Drosophila melanogaster: one gene and its partner. The gene in region 1 interacts genetically with each later gene. Each region holds a gene or a part of one and is shown in the gene's direction. Other genes may lie near its edges.

Region 1 (7,548 bases):
CAATGTGGCAAACTTGAATTAGTTAAATGATGATCCCGCCGGGCAATCGATCGTAGAATGTTCGACGATCTTCGACCTTGGCGCCATTTTAAGCCTTAACTTCCAGGTTGTTAAGGATAAGCAGCATAAGCATCTGGCATCGATGCATTGATCATGCTTTCGCATTAATGAGGCAATAATTTAATTGATACTTTTCCAAAGCTACTGCAGCAAATCATTCTTTTGATAAAATGCTTACTATATTATGTATTAAGTCAGCACTGCTTTTCCTCAACACTCAAAGCTCGAATAACATGAGATTTAGTATTATTTTTAAATTTCAAAGAATCAAAACCAACGCATAACACTAGTTAGCTGATTTTCAAAATTTTATCCGGTCTTCAAAAGGTAGCCAGTCGCAGCCAGTCGATCAGGCCAATGATGATGCCTCAATTTGTGTTCTGGAGGAGGGATGCCAAAAAGACCCAGCTGGAGCAGATCTCGCCCATCTGGAGGGATTTGAATGCTACATTTGTGACGTAACACGCAGATAGGATCACTTTTACTTTATGTTACTATATACCATTTTTCATATAGGGTTCTCAGCTGGAGTTGGCTCATCTACGCACTTTCCGCACTGGTAATCATCACTTGTGCATATTTCGCTTATTGTGAGCGCTGCCGAAGAACTGAATCAGTGCGACGACGACGGGTGATTCAAAGAGCTCAAGAGCGGTATAATAGTTATGATTTAAATTTAACAGTTTGTGTTAATTTATCATTTATACACCATTTAAGACCGCCACAAAAGCGACGACCGAATGCGGCCTATCGGGATCACCAGATCTACCGCCACATCATCCTCAGCGTGGCCAAGTACATGAAGAATCCGGATGGTATTCGACCCTTTATAGAACACATGGAGCAGCTATATCCACTCAGGCATAACTTGGCCGATCAGCAGCAGGTGGCCGAACCAAGTGCTGGAGAAGATTAGTGATCAGGGAGGTAAAACCAAAAGATTTGAATCCAAAATTAATAGAATAAATACTGCGAAAATTAAATTTATTTTCATAAGTAGTCTTAAATGCAATGAAGTGCTCTCACTTATTTAATTTCCTATCTACTAATATTATTTCTTTAAAAAATAGCTTAGAGATGAGAACTTGGAGATAATAGATACCAATTGCAAACTAGAGTGGGAGCAACTAGATAAATTAATTAGTTTAACCAGGCTCATGCTTTTGGCCAACTAAAATTGGGTCATGCGCAGTGGGAGATTCTGGTTGGCGGTGCCTAAAAATATGCAGTGCTATTTTTACCTGCCACAAATATAAACAAACGCCATGTGCGTTTGCCGAGCTTTCAGCTGGCGAAAGCTTCGCTTTCTCTCGCTTCCTGTTGCTGCTTTTCCATTTCCATTTCCAGCCGCCCTCTCTCTCAGATCTCTCTCTCCCTCTCTATCGTGCGAGAGAGAGTTCGCCGAGTTGTCGGGGCGTTAGCAGAAGAGAAGAAAAGCGATGGAAAAACGGAAAACAGTTGCCAGTTAGACAGTGAGCGCGTCGCATCTACGCACGCATCGAAAAGATTCAGCGGCAGCAGCAGCAGCGCGTTCAGTGGTTGTTGTTGTTGGAAACGGTGGAAGCACACACACACAGCAGACACAACACCAACACACGCCCGCACACACACACACACACCAACACGCGGCCAGCAAACACACTTTTCGGCTGGCCTTAATTTTCATTGCATACCAATGCCAATCACAATCAAAAATGGAATATTTGAAAATTTGAAAATTCGAATGGCAAAGTGAATTCAATTAAATTGTGCAAATTACGAGCTTGAGGATAATTGAAAAATCAAGGCACACACCTGCGCACATGTGTCTGTGAGAGGGTCCTGTGTGTACTGGTATCTGTGTGAGAACGCCTTTGGCTGTATGTGTGTTGAAGGCTAAGCAGAAAATCAGCAGCCCACGGAAAAGCCAACAAGTAAAGCGAAAAAAATTAATGTTGCATGTGCCCCGAAAATCGGGAAATTGGAAATGGAAATTCAGTTAACCATAGCAAGAAAGTTCGACAGTGCAAAGTGACAAAGTTTGAAAGATATATTATTATCGCGACACCAAAGCCATAAATCGTGCCCCTTATAAATTATCTTATCTGAAAAGAAAATCCATTTAAATCAACACCACCTAATGCATGCATTAAAATATTATTTGATTGATTTATTAGTGAAAAATACACGGGCTGCTTAAAGTTCCTTTGAGGGCCACCGACTTGGTTAGATATATCTTAAGCCCACATTCATCTAGATATTTTACAGTTCTTGCCTGTTGCAGCCAAAGAGTTAGCAAACAAAGTGATAAAGACAAAGTGTTCAAGAAAAAATGTAATAAATACCCATTAAATATTATACAAGAAATCAACTTAATACTCAACCGATCAACTGGAAAAACTGAGCAATGTCAAGGCAAAGGTTCTCAACACGAGCAGTCTCAGGTGAGCAATTTTTCGGTGGCAGGGAGCATCAAGTCGAGCTTTGCTCCAGACGCATCCTACCTCAACACAAAAAAAAAGCGAAGATAGATGGGAAGAAACAGGGAGCGAGAGGGAACGCGAAAGAGCGAACCAAAACATAAACAACCCCGAAAAGAGCGAAACTCTAGAAGTAATGGTCGAAAGGAAAGTGCTGACACTTAAAAAAAAAGAAGAGAACTTTGAGAATTTTTAATTTTTTTTGATAATTTATTTAAGATAACATTAGACGTGTTTTTTTGACAATTACTTGGCTATAATGCACCTTTTTGCGAGTGTCTAATCTATATAGCTGTGTAGTAGACTATGGAGTGAAACAAGCTGTACCGTTAAAAAAAATTTAAATAGTCTAAAGACTTGAAATTTATATTGGGATATTTTTTTCGCAGTGCACTTGAACCTCCACTTCTCCTATCGGAAATGCTGTGCTGTTCTTCTCATATCCCTTATGCTCGGTCCTTCGGTGTTGATGTAGAGATACGAAAATAGGCAAAGTTTAGCACAAAAAAACGAAGAATTTCAGTTGGAAAGCTCAATGCAAAGAATGGCAGCATTCGTTGGGGATTAGCCAAAGCCAAAAGACTTTGTGCAAATACTGAAAAGCTCGGCCTGAGCGCATCATTTTCCACGCAAATTTCGTTTGCGAAAATTTCAATTTATGTGTGGCAAACAGGATTTGCAGTATATGTCTGCATATGTATGTATGTATCTGTAACTCGGTCACACGTTACACGCTTCTCCGTTTTTTTTTTTTCCCCACCATTTTATTGACTTTGTCGTTTTATAGGCAATTTGTCTTCTGGCAGCCGTCGATAGCTTTTGCTGTGTCATAAAATTACGCGCCAAGCGAATGCCCCGTATCCTTATTGGTATCCTTATCCTTATCGGCAAGGACCGGGTTTCGAGCTTGGACTCTTTCGCTGCCAAGTTGTTTATATTGTCGTAAATTTGCCTTCAAGGACGCGACAACACCGCACAGTCTGCCGCCTCCCACCGCCCCCTACCCGCTCACATGGCCATTTTATCGATCACACAATGGGAAATTTCACACGTTGTCCCAAAGGGCTGGAAAATGGGTTTGGAAACGTACAGTGGTCGCTCCTGGCTTTAATTAATTCGAATCACCAGGATATGGATAGACCCACTGCAACAAATTGGGGATATAATTACAGAGAACTGTATCTCCGCGTATAGATCATATAACGTATTAGAAATACATAAGTAAAAAATTACCATTCAATCTATATTTTAGATCTAAGAATCTTAAAGATACAATATCTTATTATTATTGGATACCTACACATTCGCTTTACGCAGAGAACACTGTGGCAACAGACCCGTTGTGTTGAGTTGCGTTTCGTTGCTCGTCTTTAATTACGTGCGCTGCAATTGGCAGCTTCAAGGTCGTTGCCGTCTTTTGCATAATTAAGGGTCACCCACCGCCGCCCAGCGTGCCACCCCCTTCTGACTCATTGGTGCACCCATCGCAAGTGGCTTTTGTTCTTGCAACACAGTTTCAGTTTCTGAATAATGCAATTGACGCGGTCGTGTAGGCGCTGACACAGTTGCCATTTTTCACACATGACCAGCCGGAAAACAGAAACCAGAAACCAGAGACCAGGCACAACTAACAACTGGCACCGTGCGACGTGCAACGTGCGACGAGCAGCATGCAACATTCGCCGCATGTCCGGCAAGCGAGTGCAATTTCCATAGCACACTTCAAGGCTGGCCGCTGTCTAATTTACATGGCAAATGACGCTGCTCTGGCTTTCTCCGCTTTCACTGCTTTCTCCGCTTTGCATTTATGACTCGTGACGTGCAATGGCGATTGTCCGCCAACCATTTTCTTCGCCGTTTTGTGTTTCGACACACGTATTCAATTAGCCCGATAAAGGAAGCAAAATGCCGCAGCTGCTGCTGCCCACACATTTGCATATGAAAGAAAGTCCGGGAAAATTCGAGGGTGCTGATGGTGCTTGTTGGCGGGAAATGTGAGCCGTTTTAGCCATGAAATAAAACGGTACCATCAACATTGGCAGCAAATTTTAATTGGACTCTAATTCGACTTTATCTTCGCAGATAAAATCCTTTTACCCAAAAATGATCTACTTAAAAATATTGCTTTTTGGAATTATATATTTTATTTATTGCTTTACTGTGAAGTATTCAAGTTTAAGTAATTAATATATCTTTTTCCAATCCGGTCTGCAAAGAATTTATTTGCACACATTTATATCTCTTTTGATTTATGACCACAACGTGTCGCGTATATGCCGTGTTTTTTATACATTTTGTGGAAGACACCAGTAAAATTTTGGAAGTAAAAGTGTTTTTTTTTTTTGGCGGCTTTTAGGTTCGACAACAAATAGCTGGCAAAGCAAATGAGACAAACCAAACAAGTGTTTCTATATTTAAATATCTTAAGAGAACAACAAATTTAACATAACAAATATGTATGATGAAATTCTAGTCTGCTATTGACGAGCAAATACTCTGCGACACAGTTTAAACTTTTATAGATGGTTCTAATCTATTATTTGGTAATTATCTCAATTTGTTTTTCCGCTCACAAAAACAACATTTAGCCCAATGAAAGGAAAACAAAACAAACGCTGGTCGATAGTCGGCCTAAGTGGACACACCCATTCAGCCTAAATTCTCCAACACTCCCCTATTTTTCGCTCTCAACTTTCCGCCCTCGCACCCGATTTCCCGCCCCGCGTTTTTTTCCGATCCCCCCGCCATGCCTTTTTACCTCCTTCCACGCACACACAAATCGCAACTCTCTGTTTGTCCAGGCCATCGTCTAATTAGTTGTGGGCTGTGACCGCCTTGATTTATATATTTATGATGGGCGTGGCCCTGGGCTAGTGCCAACTAATTGCCGCCGGGCATTCCCATTTCCATGCCCTTCCCTCATTTCAAATGCAAGGAGTAGCTTTCTATTTGTTACCCCAGGAATAGAGACAGATGCAGATACAGATACAAAACGCGTTCACAGATACACACGTTAATAAGTGTGCATTTGGCAGCTGCTGCGAACAAATTGCTTAAATGTCAAACCGTCCTCAGAGCTTCCGACTGAATCCCGGCCAGACTTGCCAGCTCTTTTAGCGTCAGCTGGCACATTAAGCCAATAAGCCTTTGGTGCACTGAAAAAAAACTAGGGCAGTGAGTAAGTCATATATCAGTAATGCTACTGTAATGTTATACTTGTAGAAAAATATTTAGGACTGGAAGTTATATTAGTAAAATATAATTTAAAATTGTTGACCAGCTAACAGTATGCTATATAAATTAATTTTGTACATTTTTTCCTCTGTGTACGTGCATAGAAACCGCATAGTCATGATCCCGCCCTTCGTTATTGGCTGAATTCGTTGATTCCCCCCGTTTGCTTATCAATCAGACAGCGAATAACAGCAACAAATAAACAAGTTGCTGCATTTAATAAACCAGCAAAGCAACAACAACAATGCAGTGAAAAGGAGCCATGGCGGGGATGACAAATTGATGCATTGCCGTATTGATTGAACGACTGGCTTTGCTATTGCCAGTGCCACAATGAACGCCTTGACTGAATGTCAAGTCGCAGCATTGAAATGAATTTCGTGTTGGGTTTTTTCTTTTATTGATCGATTGTTCCAGTGATGTGTGTGTGTGTGTTATGTCTGTATGTGTGTGTTGATGTGGGGGTAGGATATAGCCGGTATCAGGAGCCAATACAATTGTCCTTAGAGCCGAGTGCCGCCAGTCTTATTTATTACGCATACGTCACGTTGTCGAGTGTTGGGCTTGTGGTTGGAAACGAAAGGAAAATGCCAGCCCATGACTGTGACCTTGCCAATTGTAGAACATCTGCAAACCATTGCATTTTGCCATATTCAAGATATTTCCAAAAAAAAAAAAAAAATACAATAGAACCTTCGCCCAAAGGGAAATCAGAGTTAGAGCGCTAGGAAAATCCAGTGGGAAATAGAACAATATAAAACTAAGCACGAGCGCGTCGCCAAGTCGCTGTTTGCCCTTGGCCCGAACCACGCCCCCTCTCTCTCTCTCTCTCTCTAACTGCCCCTCGCGCAACGCAAAATTGGCCCAAATAAAAAGCATTGCGTATACGACATGTGGTACGGCATTTCACAATGCGGTTTATGGCCATAACAGCGGGTAGCACGTGAATTTAAGTTGGCCCAATCACGCACCCCCCGCCGTCATTTATTTTGAGGACGCAAAATATTCAGGGCATTTCCCAGGCAAATTGGATTTCTTTTTACGACGTTCCTTGGCCAAATTACTCTTTTCGGCTGCCTATTATTATTATTATTATGCCAATGTATAGAGAACGAACACTTTTGGATGAGCTAACATTTTCATTAAATCAATTTAATCGATTCTTTATTACTTTTTAAACTTTGTTTCCACATATCTACGAACATTGCAGTTCAATCAATGCTATTCAGTATCTAATTTTTTGGAATTGAAGTTTCCCAAATTGTTTTTGTGGTCGAACTGTTGCATTTTACGGCAAAGTTTCTAGCGTTCTGCCACTTTGATTGCAATTTGCCTGCAGGCATTTTTCGGTTGACAAAAGTTAGTGGCCAAAGAGTTTGGCTCGGTGAGCGTGGGGCAAAGCAACAGGCAGCAGGACCGCCTGCAAAGTCCTTAAGCTACTGAGTGACAGGAGCTGCCAAGTCTAGCCCGGCGCCACCGCCTTCGGCGACTCCTCCGCCCCCCCGAAGGACGAGCATTTCCAGGCATATGCGACACTTGACATGCGTAAGCATAAATTATGCAGTCGCCGCAGCAGATGCACTGAGCAAAACAGGTGGCGCCATGTAAATACGTTGCACGAAACACCAATTGTCAACTGGCTGCTGTGCTGCGAAAATGAAAATGAAAATGTAAATGTAAATGAATAGAAAAGCCAAGGTGAGGTCATGCTTATGTAAAGACGCAGCCACGTGAATGGCGACGATGACGTGGCACCCATCCGCAGCAGCCTTGCCAGCCTTGTCAGCCTGCCACC
Region 2 (8,027 bases), on another chromosome or scaffold:
GCAGTGCAACCGGTGCAGCAGGTTCCGGTTCAGGATCTGGCGGCGGTGCCGGTGATTTTTTCCTCTTCAGCAGGTCAGTAGACGGTAATGGGGCAAAGGGTGGCGGTCGTAGTCTGCTCAACTCGCTGCACAGCCGCCTTGCCAAGCTCATTTGAACTCAGAACTCAGAAATCGGATTTCGATTCCGAAACCGAATTTGAATTTGAATTTGAATTTGAATTTCGAAAAAATATATGTATACCCGAACCGAAACAGCGATGATCAGCGCAATTTTTGCACCCATCTAATCCAACCAACCAACCAACTACAAAAATGAACCACCAACCAACCAACTGCAAAATTTATAAAATAGTACTCAATTTACTAATTACTAATATGAACGAATTGGCTGCTTTGATTTGGTCTCTGCTTTTGCTACTTTCAATCTCACAAAAATATATCTTTCAAAAAAAAACTAACTGCAACAACTACAACAACAACAGCAACAACAAGAACAACAACAACAACAACAAAAGCACGAACGCACACTCGCTTTAACCTCAAATTCTGTATGTACTGCTCAAAACGCAAAAACCAAAATCGAGAAATATCTGTTGTGTTTTTGTTTCTAAACGTTACCTTTTTCCCACTCATTAATCGCTTTGAATCGCTATTGCCTTCTCCCTCTAAGCCGAGTCATCTTCATATCGCTATCCCTGTCTAATTGAATGTACCTACGTTGAATAGCCTGTACTCTAGTTTTCAAAATTACCACTTTTGAGTTTAGTTGAATTTGAAAGTTATCTTAGGGGATCTGCCCATGAACTTAAATCTTATTATTTCAATTGAAAACTTTTTAATAAGAGTCTTTTGAAATTAGTTTTCCAAGTCTGTGAAGTATATTATACTATAATGGATCATAAGTATATAAAGGTATACACAAAGTGTATTATTTGCCAATTTGTATTATTTTCTTCATTGTTTTTAAATGAACTTGTAGAACTTGGAGTACCGGTTATCTGTAAGTCGGATAACATCGACTTTTTTTTGTTTAAGTGTTGTAATTGCTTACCTGTCCTATCACCCACTGTATATCATATGTGTACCCAATTATCTATCTATCGAATCTCAGTTCTGTGTTTTTCGTTCAGTTTTAACTATGCAAAGCTATTACATACAAAACTAACTAACTTTGCAGATCTTCAGAGCCAAAAGAGTTACTGTCCGATGAGCAGGTTGAGAATTTACTATTAAATCACTTGGTGGATGAGAATGGTGCCATTATAGTGGAGGAACTCAAATCGCCAACAACAACCACAAGCATGTACCACACACACCAACATCAACAGCAACAGCAACAACAACAACAGAATCAGCAGCAGAAGCAACAACAAAAGCAACACCACCAGGCACTAAACGTGGTTGGAGCCTTGCTGTTTTGAGCCGACAGCGAAATACCCTACACTTAGAAAAAAAAATCAACACCAAAACCGCCTCACCATCACACACACACACACACACACACATGAATGCGGTGATGGGAAAAGTCACTTTTAAATGAATAATTGCAATATAGTTCATAGATAATGATCGAAAGTGCCACAAGAAGTATTTAAAGTTTCAAAACTATGCACTATTTTTGAGCATTTTTGTAACGGAATTTTCGAAAGTACCTTTCTTCAATTTAGAAAACTCTTGTTTGGCCGCTGACACAACTTCCCCCATCACTGCACGCATACAAATATGAAAATTATGGCAAAATTTTACTCTATGAGTATTAGGGCATACTTACGATCGATCCAAAAAATCCAATTAGTCAAAAGCGTAGCGTACATATCATTCAAATACAAAAAGACATCAATCCCAGGTGGATCGAAATGGATGCGAGATGATGGATGAGCCAGCAGGAATCTTTTTAAATCCACACCAACGCACTCAGGCACGTGTGGCAAACTATGTTCTAATCCTAAATAAATGATGTGCAATAATTTAGTTTATGTAGTGGCATATACATAATTAAGAAAGTTACATTTTATGCTGTTTACAAAAAGCAAATAACTAAATGCTAGTCAACAAAAACGAAATCAGTTTAATAGTTTTAGTGTGTACGAGCTAAATATTCGGCAAAATGATTTACAAGAAACCCACAAAAATACATAAGAGTGTACAAATAATGGTAAATGTGGTGTGCACTGAAAGAAAACGAGGAGTGCGTTGACAATTCGCACCAAAAGCCGAATCAGCAATATTACTTTATGGAGACATTTGAAATACAAGCGACTTGCAAATTGTCCGCGAATTCTTCGGTTTTCTTCTGTTTGCGCCACTGAGTGTTAAATAATTGCATATATAAATACCTGCATAAAATTATATGAAGTGTATTATACAAAACTGAATGTTTCATTTCGAAAACTGGGCAGTTAGTGAATAAAATGGGGCTGCCATTTTTAATTGGTAACTATAAAGCTTTAGTTTCATTCTTTGTTATAATACGTAAAAAATCAACTTTAAAATTGACTAGTTTGTGTTATGTTATTAAATAATATAGCATTGCCTTTTAACGGTTTTCTATTTTAGAAATTTCATTTGACCACCATTCTTCAGCCTTTTGGTATTTTCTAGTTTAGTATTTCCTACCAAATAAAAAACTTATTCTATGATTATGCCCATTAATTTTTACTCAAATCCCATTTAAAATTTTTGATTAATTGGTGTATATTTTAACTTAATATTAAAAACTATATTCAAAATCAATAAGTAATCTATAATAACACAGTACCTAGAAAACCAGCTGATTGCTGATAATATGTAAGACATGGCGATAGACTTTTGAAAGCTTTTGCATTTCAACTTTTATTCGCCATACAAGTTGCATATAAGTGAACATGTACGCATTAAGATCAGGAACTTTAAAAACCACAACGTTCGATCTCCATCTATCAATTTGAAATTGGTATATATTGTAAATAACGCTGATAATAGGATTTAAAATCACACCAGCTGATATACGATATATCGATTGGGCTATCGCAAGCAGTGGCGCCCCATCTCTACGATAGTGCTTTCGCTGCACGCCGACGAACGCTTCGTGCAACTTCGTGCAGCTTCGTGCCACTCGGTTCGCAGTGGTTCGCTACGAACCGCCGACGGACGCTTTAGTTTGGCTGCAACGCTTTGCTGAGAACAGACCAAATCCGAAGCGAGCGGAGCCGAAGAGAAACCGAACAAACCAAACAAACCAAGCCAAACAATCCGAAGAAATCGCGTCGTGAGTTGTGTGGAAGGAAAAGCGGTTAAATAACGCGGCGATCTTAACTGTTGTTCTTCTTTTTTTTTTTCGGTGCTGGTGTATTTGCACATTCTACTTTTTTTTTCGTTCTATAAAGTGCCACTTTGTGTGTCTCGCTGGTCGTTTGTTTTCTTTTTGTCGTGGGAAATGCGCGCGCGCATTTAAGAAGTGGCAGGAAAACTCCAAACGCAGCTGGTAAAGATTCAAGTTTTCCAAAAAAAAAAAAAAAATAATAATAAAAGAAAACCAACAAGAAAAACCGAAAACCCAAAAAACAACAAAAAACACGAATGCATTGCCAGCAGATGATAAAGAAGGAGAGCAAGAAGAAGAGCGCACCGCGACGCCTTCTGCTGTTGTGGTTGTTGTTGCCGTTCTTGGCCGTGTTTGTTGTTGTCGTTGTTGCCGCTTTTATCTGCATTGTCTTGCGTCTTAACTCGTTTCGCTTTGGCCTTTTCGGCTCTCCTCTCTCCCCGTTTTCCACACTCCCCCACTCTTCTCATCATGCCAATGCGTGTGTGTGTGTGTGTGTGTGTGTGTGCCGTCCATGGATGCGCTTTGCCACTGGCTTTTCCCTCTCTTCTCCACGTTCCTCTGTCTCTTTGCCACACACACGCCTTTTTTCGGCTTACGGCGGCGGCAGCAGCGGCAACAACAACAACAACAAGCTGCCGCAAAAAATCGATAACGGTATTGGCAGCGGCGGCAGCACAAGAAAACGGCAACAACTTCCGCTTCCCCAAAAGTTGCAAAATGTCACCTGCCCCAAGGATTAGATAATCAAAAAGGGCACGCGAAGAGAGAGAGCAAAGAAAAGCAATAACCAAGGGAGAGAGAGAGAGAGAGAGTGTGTGGGAGTGGGCTTAGGCTTGGGCTTGCCACGCCCCCCGCCTTAAAGCGTGGCTGTCACAATTCTTGTTTTAATTAAGAGCCAAACATTCAATTACAACTCGCTTGCTCTCTCACTCGCTCCCTATCGCTGTCTCATTCGCACCCTCTTACTCTCCGCTCAGCCATCTATGCATCTTGGACCTACAACAACAATAATAACAACAACAACAACAAGAGATACAGAACAAGGAGGCAAAAAAGTAACAGAAGAAGAAGAAGCAGCAGCAGTCAACTTGCAACACAATCGTTGTTGCTTTTTGGGTAAGTGTTTTCCTTTGACGAAATTCAGTTTGAGATACTAAGATACTTTTGCATCTCTGAAGTACATATATACGTAGTTATGGATAAGATACACATGAAATCGGGAGAAGGTTGAAACGTTTTTATTCATTTTAATATTTAATACAAATTAGAATATGAGTAAAGTAAATATTATATTTTCTCAATACATGTATATAAAATTTAATATTTTATTGAAAAGAAAGAAAGAAAGAAAGAAAGCAAAAATAGAATGAAAAATATAATCGAAAATCCTATTTAAATAACATGAATATTATTATATATGTAGAACTGAAATTTTATCCAAAAAAGGAAAATAAAATTAATATTAGTACTAACTACTTATAGCGTTTTTCATAAACAATTATTATCTTTAAATTGTTGTTTAACTAGATTCCAGTTGGATATAACACAAATCCGTCAACTTTAACTGCTGATCGTTATTAGCTTACTTTTTATTGTTTCGATAAAAAGTAAGACTTTTAGTTTATGACCAATCATTTTTACGATGATCATACATTTATGGCTATTAATAACAACTACTTAACTGTGTATTTGACTAACTAATGACTTGACTAGATAATTGTAGCTTCTAAGCCAGTTTAAATGGCTTCTATTCATAGATTTTCACTAGGGATTTCGAATTATTTAGCTCATTTATTATCTGAATCATTAGGGCGATGGCTATAAATAATTGCAACCCTTTTAACAAATTGCCTTTAATATTATAGTTTTAAATTGTGTGTGCTGCAGCAGCTGACACATGTGTTTTCTTTTCGCCCCGCCGACTTTTCATATTTGTGTTTGTTGGAATATACTATTCAACCTACAAAAATAACGTTAAACAACACTACTTTATATTTGATATGAATGGCCACACCTTTTATGCCATAAAACATATTGTAAGAGAATACCACTCTTTTTATTCCTTCTTTCCTTCTTGTACGTTTTTTGCTGTGAGTAGGTCGTGGTGCTGGTGTTGCAGTTGAAATAACTTAAAATATAAATCATAAAACTCAAACATAAACTTGACTATTTATTTATTTATTAAGAAAGGAAATATAAATTATAAATTACAACAGGTTATGGGCCCAGTCCATGCCTAATAAACAATTAAATTGTGAATTAAAGATTGTGAAAATAAATTGTGAAATAGCATTTTTTTCACATTCTTGTGAAATAGCTTTTTTTTTCACATTCTTGTGAAATTATTTCCTTCTCAGAATTTGAGTGAAAAATGGACAAGGCTAAACGTAATATTAAGCCGTTTGATGGCGAGAAGTACGCGATTTGGAAATTTAGAATTAGGGCTCTTTTAGCCGAGCAAGATGTGCTTAAAGTAGTTGATGGTTTAATGCCTAACGAGGTAGATGACTCCTGGAAAAAGGCAGAGCGTTGTGCAAAAAGTACAATAATAGAGTACCTAAGCGACTCGTTTTTAAATTTCGCAACAAGCGACATTACGGCGCGTCAGATTCTTGAGAATTTGGACGCCGTTTATGAACGAAAAAGTTTGGCGTCGCAACTGGCGCTGCGAAAACGTTTGCTTTCTCTGAAGCTATCGAGTGAGATGTCACTATTAAGCCATTTTCATATTTTTGACGAACTTATAAGTGAATTGTTGGCAGCTGGTGCAAAAATAGAAGAGATGGATAAAATTTCTCATCTACTGATCACATTGCCTTCGTGTTACGATGGAATTATTACAGCGATAGAGACATTATCTGAAGAAAATTTGACATTGGCGTTTGTGAAAAATAGATTGCTGGATCAAGAAATTAAAATTAAAAATGACCACAACGATACAAGCAAGAAAGTTATGAACGCGATCGTGCACAACAATAATAACACTTATAAAAATAATTTGTTTAAAAATCGGGTAACTAAACCAAAGAAAATATTCAAGGGAAATTCAAAGTATAAAGTCAAGTGTCACCACTGTGGCAGAGAAGGCCACATTAAAAAAGATTGTTTCCATTATAAAAGAATATTAAATAATAAAAATAAAGAAAATGAAAAACAAGTTCAAACTGCAACATCACACGGCATTGCGTTTATGGTAAAAGAAGTGAATAATACTTCAGTGATGGACAACTGCGGGTTTGTCCTTGATTCTGGTGCTAGTGACCATCTTATAAATGATGAGTCGCTGTATACCGACAGTGTGGAGGTTGTGCCTCCACTTAAGATTGCAGTGGCCAAGCAAGGCGAATTTATTTATGCCACTAAGCGTGGTATTGTCCGACTACGGAATGACCATGAGATTACACTGGAGGATGTACTCTTTTGTAAGGAAGCTGCTGGTAATTTGATGTCCGTAAAGCGTCTCCAAGAGGCAGGAATGTCGATCGAATTTGACAAAAGCGGTGTAACCATTTCGAAAAATGGGTTAATGGTTGTCAAAAATTCAGGTATGTTAAACAATGTACCTGTGATCAATTTTCAAGCATATTCTATAAATGCTAAGCATAAAAATAATTTTCGTTTATGGCATGAGAGGTTTGGCCATATAAGCGATGGCAAATTATTAGAAATAAAACGAAAGAATATGTTTAGTGATCAAAGTCTTCTAAACAACTTAGAGTTATCATGTGAAATTTGTGAACCCTGTTTAAATGGTAAACAGGCAAGACTTCCTTTTAAACAATTGAAAGATAAGACCCATATTAAAAGACCACTTTTTGTAGTACACTCAGATGTCTGTGGGCCTATTACTCCAGTTACTTTAGATGATAAAAATTATTTTGTGATCTTTGTTGATCAGTTTACACATTATTGTGTAACTTATTTAATTAAATATAAATCTGATGTGTTTAGCATGTTTCAAGATTTTGTAGCCAAGAGTGAAGCTCATTTTAATTTAAAGGTTGTGTACTTATACATTGACAATGGTAGAGAATACTTGTCAAATGAGATGAGACAATTTTGTGTTAAGAAAGGAATTTCTTATCACTTAACAGTGCCACATACACCTCAGTTAAATGGTGTTTCTGAGAGAATGATAAGAACCATTACGGAAAAAGCTCGAACCATGGTTAGTGGTGCAAAGCTAGATAAAAGCTTTTGGGGCGAAGCAGTATTAACTGCTACTTATTTAATCAACAGAATTCCTAGCAGAGCACTTGTTGATAGTTCAAAGACCCCATATGAGATGTGGCACAATAAGAAGCCATACTTAAAACATTTGAGAGTGTTTGGTGCAACTGTTTATGTGCATATTAAAAACAAACAAGGAAAGTTTGATGATAAATCATTTAAAAGTATTTTTGTGGGCTATGAACCCAATGGTTTTAAGTTGTGGGATGCTGTAAATGAAAAATTTATTGTCGCAAGAGATGTTGTTGTCGATGAAACCAATATGGTTAATTCTAGAGCTGTTAAATTTGAAACAGTGTTCCTGAAAGATAGTAAGGAAAGTGAAAATAAAAATTTTCCGAATGACAGTAGGAAAATAATACAAACAGAGTTCCCGAATGAGAGTAAGGAATGCGACAACATACAATTCCTGAAAGATAGTAAGGAAAGTGAAAATAAAAATTTTCCGAATGACAGTAGGAAAATAATACAAACAGAATTCCCGAATGAGAGT

The links. A genetic interaction does not mean that the proteins touch.
Region 2: of DopEcR (region 1) and rut, changing one suppresses a phenotype caused by changing the other (phenotypic suppression), as found in Drosophila melanogaster (one study listed by BioGRID).

The regions. Positions count from the first base shown.
Region 1 is NT_037436.4:4,374,356-4,381,903, reverse strand, and holds the start of DopEcR (Dopamine/Ecdysteroid receptor), read left to right. Parts: upstream 1-1,516; 5' UTR 1,517-1,973; intron 1,974-2,304; exon of another isoform or gene 2,305-2,307; 5' UTR 2,308-2,483; intron 2,484-3,904; exon of another isoform or gene 3,905-4,536; intron 4,537-7,548. Other genes in the region: CG32240 (uncharacterized protein), read left to right, coding at 418-518, 577-714, 778-976.
Region 2 is NC_004354.4:14,821,182-14,829,208, reverse strand, and holds the start of rut (rutabaga), read left to right. Parts: upstream 1-3,135; 5' UTR 3,136-3,247; intron 3,248-3,303; exon of another isoform or gene 3,304-3,463; intron 3,464-4,281; 5' UTR 4,282-4,420; intron 4,421-8,027. Other genes in the region: CG14408 (uncharacterized protein), read left to right, coding at 1-73, 1,178-1,421. UniProt on the Drosophila melanogaster protein: This is a membrane-bound, calmodulin-sensitive adenylyl cyclase. Inactivation of this cyclase leads to a learning and memory defect.